2 linked regions of the Caenorhabditis elegans genome follow. The protein of the gene in region 2 interacts with the protein of the main gene of each other region in a pairwise test. Each region holds a gene or a part of one and is shown on either strand. Other genes may lie near its edges.

The links. The genes of interacting proteins can lie anywhere in the genome.
Region 1: the proteins of F54D10.5 (region 2) and syp-3 interact in a two-hybrid assay, tested with the Caenorhabditis elegans proteins (one large-scale study listed by BioGRID).

Annotation. Positions count from the first base shown.
Region 1 is NC_003279.8:8,662,546-8,666,153, reverse strand, and holds syp-3 (Synaptonemal complex protein 3), read left to right. Parts: upstream 1-2,033; 5' UTR 2,034-2,039; coding exon 2,040-2,142; intron 2,143-2,195; coding exon 2,196-2,243; intron 2,244-2,286; coding exon 2,287-2,540; intron 2,541-2,604; coding exon 2,605-2,671; intron 2,672-2,717; coding exon 2,718-2,920; 3' UTR 2,921-3,094; downstream 3,095-3,608. Other genes in the region: F39H2.3 (Aminomethyltransferase folate-binding domain-containing protein), read right to left, coding at 1-87, 203-297, 432-516, 587-744, 787-1,019, 1,075-1,178; mrt-1 (5' exonuclease Apollo), read right to left, coding at 3,095-3,293, 3,394-3,608. UniProt on the Caenorhabditis elegans protein: Plays a role in early meiotic events; during prophase I contributes to synaptonemal complex (SC) assembly, synapsis and chiasmata formation and stabilization of homologous chromosomes pairing.
Region 2 is NC_003280.10:3,806,662-3,809,968, reverse strand, and holds F54D10.5 (uncharacterized protein), read left to right. Parts: upstream 1-1,791; 5' UTR 1,792-1,798; coding exon 1,799-1,874; intron 1,875-1,929; coding exon 1,930-2,059; intron 2,060-2,110; coding exon 2,111-2,369; intron 2,370-2,414; coding exon 2,415-2,657; 3' UTR 2,658-2,798; downstream 2,799-3,307. Other genes in the region: F54D10.10 (uncharacterized protein), read right to left, coding at 391-729; F54D10.4 (uncharacterized protein), read left to right, coding at 2,916-3,005, 3,060-3,146, 3,206-3,307.

The sequences.
Region 1 (3,608 bases), on a different chromosome or scaffold from region 2:
CGAAACTCCATCAGCTGTCAATTTTTGAGATTTGAATGAAGAAAGTTGAAGAATTCCCAGGCAACGAGTTGTGTCAGAAGAGATAATCTGAAGATTTTTTAATTGAACAGAAACTATTGTTTTTCAATTTTTGACAGTGAATTGACTCCAGATAATTCCAACGTTTAGATGAATTTTTTATCACTATAACTTTTAAACACACCTTTCCGACTTTATTTTTCTTCTCGTCCAGAACTTCTGCTCCAATTTTGACTTGACCTTCACATTCAAATGGTAAGATTCGTCGACGGATAACACCTGTCAAAATTTAATTTTTCAAAATCAAATTGAACTAGTTTTGTGGGTTTTACAAAAATTTAATTGACAAGTTACTAAATAAAAAGGAAAGTGAGATTTCACGTCTCCAAATATCTAAATTTAGTTGAAGTAACCTGTATGAGCAGTTCTTGCAGTTAATTCCTGTCCAACATAACATCCTTTATCAAGTGAAACCATATTGAGCAGATCACCGTTTGCCTTAAAAAATAATATTTGAAAATGAACTTTTAGAAATATTTCATTTAAATTGCTTCTGTTGTATTTTTACCTGAAAAGGAAGCAACTCCGCCAATTCTTGAGATCCTTCTGCAATTCCAGCAGATCGTCGCAAATTTTCATATTTTTCTCGATTTTCGCTAACTTCCGATGAAGACGGATTACCGAAAACGCGAGCTCCAAAACCAGAAAATCGAGGATCGCGGTGAGCTAAAATAAAATGTTATTAAAGTTTTGACGTTCATTTTCTACCTTGTTTGTCCGATACATCTTCTGTGAAAAATATTTGATCGGAAGATTCGGTGATTTCAACTTGTTTCCTCAATCGATATTTCAAGATTTCTTTTGTTAAAATAGTTTTATTTTCTTTAGAACATTCCAAGAACAAATCATCAGTTCCTCGTCTCCATAGAAGAACATCTTCAACAATTCTCCCTTTTGTGTTGAGCAAAAAAGCAGCAAGTCCATTTTGAGTTTGAAGTTTTCTGCAAAATAAGATGTAATCATTTTCGCTGTAATTTTTAGAGTATAAAAACATACGTCACATCATTTGTAATTAAACCTTGAAGAAACGCGTTTGTGTCAGAGCCATGAAGTTTCAAAAGAACTCTATGAGGCAATTTAATTAATCTTTGTGTTGACATCTGTAAAAAAGTTTGATAATCACAAGAAAACATATTAAAATATGTTAGAGTAAATTTCGCAACGGGGATGATCATATGGCCGTGCCGAATAATTTCGTCCGCGGCCGCAAGTAGAGCGAGGAAATTTGAAAAAGAAAACAAGCGCTTGGATTAGCAGCAAACTATTTAGGATGAAGCACCAAGTACGTCGCATTGAAAGCTGGGAATAATTATAATTTGCCTAAGCTTGGGACAAACTACACTCAAAATAAAAAAACTGCGTGGCGTGTACTGCAGAAAACCTCATATTTAGGCCCCGCCTTTTTCTCGTCCACTCACGGAGTGGAGGCAAAAATTTGGGGACCAACCAATATCATGCCGCCGACATCCTACGGGTTCCGCGCGCCGCTATGTTTAACTCGCAGCGGGCGGAGACAGCTCGCCACGCCCACAGCGAGTTAATCCTAGCGGCGCGCGGAACCCGTAGGATGTCGGCGGCCTGATATTGGTTGGTCCCCAAATTTTTGCCTTTTGTCCGTGAGTGGACGAGAAAAAGGCGGGGCCTAAAAATGAGGTTTTCTGCAGTACAGGCCACGCAGTTTTTTTATTTTGAGTGTAGGTTGTTGCTTAAATTTAATAAAATTAATTTGAATTAAAAATTGTCGAAGCGAATACATATTTAAAAAATGAATATTTTGTGTGTTTAATGAGTGAATAAAAATAAAACTGTTCATGAAAACATACGGTTTAAAGGCTCACGTTGTTCTTAAGTCATGTGGGTCTCGCAACGATCGCAAACACGCTACGGTTTTTTGTTAATTTTAAATATTTTTATTTTCTATTGTGAATTGGCCATTTCAATATCTCCAATTTCAGAGATAAATGAATTTCGAAAAGCTTGTCAGTCAGGCAGTAAATGGTGACCGATTCAAAATTTTCTGCGGGCAGCTCACTGAGTTCACCAACTCGCTCGCTGGGGAAAGAGGTATGTTTTGAGGCAAACATCAATGAAATATGAATTTAAAAATACATTTTCAGAGGCCATAGAAAAAGGAATGAGGCAAATCGAAACTCAACAGCTTGAAGGTTTGACAGATTGAAAAAGGCTCAACTTTAAAATTTTCTTCAGCCGAAACTTCATTCACCGAGCGAATTGCTGAAGACAGGGTTAAATGTGCTGCTCAACGAGAAAGTCTAGAAAGACAGCTTCAGGATTTGACAGCAACTGACAATAAACTGTCTGAACAGAAAAGAGACTGGGAAGAGAGACAAGAAAAAGCCTATGATGAACTAATGTCTTATTTGGAAAACGAGGATGTGGACAGTGCGGGTACACAGTTCGGAGATCACTTCAATTCATTAATTAAATCGATGAACAACTTGGTAAGTCTGCTCGATAACTTTATAATTTTTAAAAAGAGTGGGTTTCTGAATGTTATATTTTCAGTCACATGATTCGATGAATGGTCAATTCAATTCACTCAAAAACAATCTGGATGAATTAAACATTGAAAGTAAGTTGAAAAAAAATTTTGATGGTATTATCAACTAAACTTGCAGAGAAACAACTAGAAGTCGCCATCGCTGATCAATCATCGACTATTTCTGAAATGATTCCTTCTCTCCGTCCAACATGTGGAGCGACCTACAAAGAGCGCAACACTCTTCGCATTATTTTCCATTATCAAGTTGCCAAACTGCGCAGTGAGTACCAAAAATGTCGTCTACAAGAAGAAGCTCTGAAAGCCCGACTTTCTACATGAATTAAAAGAATCAGAACAGCCAAAATGTGGGCAACTGTTAATCGAACTGTAATGATATTAAAAATTGAATAATCTTTTTTCAAATCGTTCTGTTATCCTAAACTTTCATCATGTCGAATGCTTATCATGTAATATTTAATTTTATTGCATCAACCGTTGTGAAGTTTTAATAAATTATAGTCCTGGATTTCTCGGCCTTCTTGAATTATTGGCCCGAGCGATAGCTTCCGCAAATGTTTTCGGAGGTCCTTCCGGCCAATTGTCCAAGTCCATATCCATAAAATCGCATGTATTCGTTCGAAATACAACTCCAGGCGGTAGAGGGTCTTCTTGAAGTTGTGAAATGGGTGTTCCTTGGATAGTAGATTGAGTCCTAAAGTAAGATGTTCCTATTAATTAAAATTCACAATTTTGGGAATATGAATAACTTTCCCTTTTTCGAAAGTCGTGCTTCAATAATGAGACTAACTTACTTTTCTACTGTGTGGTCCTCTTCTGATCGTTTTCCTGCATTTTCCAAAGATGCCAGCTCAATGATAGAATACTTTTTAGTACACGGCGTAATCGTTTTAAAGTGAAAATGACTGAGAAATTTAAGAATTTCACTTCTTGAAGAGTGGTCGGAATATGGAATTCTAATGATTCCCTCGTCGTCGTTGACACCATTTCCAAACGTATAATAGAGCAT
Region 2 (3,307 bases):
AGACAATTTGCCGATGAGCCGGAAATTATCAACTCCGGCAATTTGCTGGCTTACCGATTTGCCGGAAATTTTAATTCCTGCAATTTGCCAAAAAAATTCAATTCCGGCAATTTGCCGATTTGCCGGAAAAAATCATTTTCCGCCAACCCCTGGTTCAATTGTCATGGGTCTTGTCGCGAGCAAAACGTTTCTAGTTATCGTACCCCTGTATATGGTTATTTCGGCAAATCGGCAATTTTCGGTTTGCCGATTTGCCAAGAAAAAAAACCGTTTGCCGCTCAACCTCTGAGGCAACCGAAAGTTTACAGAAACCATTTATTTCACAAAATTTTCAAATTCGACACAATTTACATACATAAATGAATTTTTTTTAGAAATACAAGGTAAAAATCAATAGAACAAATAACGCAGGAAAACCCCAAGGAACAGAATATTCATCGCACACACGAAATAAATGAGCTTCATCTCATTTGTATTGTACAACTCGATACGATCCTGGTATTCCACCCACTCAGCTCCTGGAGCTTCTTCTACTGGTCCCACTCTGACCATCCTCTGACGAACCGGCAACTGCTGGAATTGCAGCTTTTGGAACAAGTTGAGCATTCTTGTGGTGAGCTCGACGCGTAGTTGACCAACTTTGACAATGAGATTTGAAATCCAATTTTTGTTGAAAATTTGGGCAATTTGGGGGAGACGCTCCATAATTGTCGAGTGCAAATTGCCCATTTTCGAACTAGAAAAAGTAATAATTAGTTGCTCGGAAAAACCAGAAGAAATGTGCTGAGATGCGAAAAAAATGTTCGACTACTGCGGACCGTTGGCCTATGTGCGTATATGGATCAATAACAAGTGTCCCCAGCGCGTTTACAACCGGAGGGTACGGGAAGATGTCACGGCCTGCAGCTGAAGACGGTCCCAAAACCCTAATCTGGAAATTTGTCGGGAAAAAATACTGTCTTTACTCAAAATTTGTGAAAAAAAAGCATTTAAACTTGCCAGGATACAAAAAGTTTCGATTTTTCATTAATTTTTTAATTGTTTGAGAAAAACAGTTTTTTCTATAAAAATTATACCGTAGCAAATTAAAGGCGCATAACCTAAAAATTAAATGCGTACTTTGCATTTTAAATGACGAGCAAAACTAGATTACGGTACGAGCTTCTCAAGCAATTTCAACTATTTGTTTTTGACCTAATTTTTAAATTTGAAGAGAATTAAAATGCTCAGTCTTTTTTTTTAATTTTTAGCGGAATTTTCGAATTTAATCGTCGATTAAAAACAAATTTACACACAACTCTGCGTACAAAACACTATACTCGACGCGCAAAGTTGTTTTTTGTAGCCTTTTCCGTTGCACTTCTGTTTTTTGTGTTTATTTTTCCTGCCATTAGTAGAATTCAAATTTATTTTAAAACAAAATAATTTTTCTCCATCAATCCGACTTCATGTCTTCCACGAGCTCCGACTCGTTGTTTGATTTTTTATTTTTTAGTCAAAGTGGCAGCGTGAGCTTCAATTTATAACTATAATTTATCAAATTTATCGTTTTTACGTTGAAATTTCTAGATTTTCAACTATTTATGTATTTTTTCCATATTGAAAAAACCCTGAAAAAAAAACTCAGTGAAATAGAAACTCCGCGCGCACGTCTTGCAAAAAGCCGTGCGGCACTTTGCGTGTCGATTTACGAAGCCCCGCCCAACACATTTTTAGAGGGAAACTTTTTTTTTCAATGTGTTTTTGACTTTTCAACTCAATTTAACCAAATTTTTCATAATTTTGTTTAAGAATAAACATGAATAATCAAGACCAGCCAGGATCGTCGCACCAGAACGAGGATTCATCGCCCGACGACGATGTTGAGGAGATTCGTAAGTTTTCTGAGTTTTTAAAAAAGTTTTTCCCTTATTACCAACGATTTTTCAGTTCGAAATAATCCGATGCTCAACGTTATCCTTGGCCGCACCCAATTAATGGCAAATGATCAGATTCCCGAAGCGTTCAGACCCGTGCACCCAGGTTTATATTCTGCGGCGCTTGCTCACGAGCAAATCATGTAGGATTTCATTTTCGCGGAGGAAAAGTTGAAAAAATTTTGGTTTTTCAGTGACGTGGTCCGAGCACGAGTCGTCGAACAGCGTGAAATGCAGGGAAGTTCGGATTCTGGAGCACTGGAAAACGATTTAAACCGAACTTTGGAAGTCACTGAGGATGCCGAAGTCATGGAAAATTGGGTTTCAATATACGAACTGCTGAATCCTTCTGAACTTCGAAGCCGAAAAAATGGCCTAACTGAGCCAGTCAACGATATTCTGAAAGCCTTTTTGGAGCTGAACATGGAGAACTTTGCCGAAAAACTGACCCCGGTGAGTCAACACAGACAGTTTACTTTAAAATTCAAATATTTTCAGATTTTCCACGATCTCAAGCTGGACAATCGTATCCTGCATATATTGAAAACGGCTGAGCAATGTTGTCGCCGTGAAGATATCGACAAGAGGTTTATTCCGGAGCACTGCACAATTGCACGCAACTTTTTGAAAGCGACTTTCTACACTGGACCCAAGCGAACCGACAACTTCATCTTCCAGAGCAACCTGTTTTCCACGTCTTGCGGATCGCTTATATCTAAATCTGGCGAACCAATTGTGTAATATTTTTCCCCCACATTGTTTTAATTCCTATTTTTTTCCTTCTGGAATATTCTGATTTGAATCAATTTTTGTAAATAATTTGTTATTTTGCGCACAAATTTGTATTTTTCGTATTCTGATAAAGCCGGTCAAACGAACAAACTTTTCAATTTTTTCGTGTTTCAATCAGAATTTTGCCGAATTTTCATCAATTTCCTTTACTTACTACTTTTGAATAAAATCATTTTTGAAGCAATTCAAACATTTTTCAAGCAGAAAATGACTCTTAAATCCGCGAAAAAGGATCCAACGGAGCAGGAGCCAAAATTCGACGCTGAAAAAAGCATTGAAGAGTCGCTGGAGGCTCTGGTTGGTTTCTTTTTACAGTTTATGTATATCCTGAAAAATTAATATTTAATTCAGATTTCCGCCTTGCCGCCGCTCTCAACAGACGATGTCAGATTTTTTACCGTAAAAAGTGAGCAAATTAAGAAGAGAAAGAAGACGGGTGTAAGCTAAAAAATACTTTAAAAATAAATTAAAATAATAGAAAATGGTTTTTTTTTCAGAAAATCCCGGAAAATTGTGAAAATTTGAAGAATCTTGAGCAGGAATTGACTGAAACAAAGTCAAAACTTGCGAAAAAAGAAATGGAGCATCAAGTTCTCTTG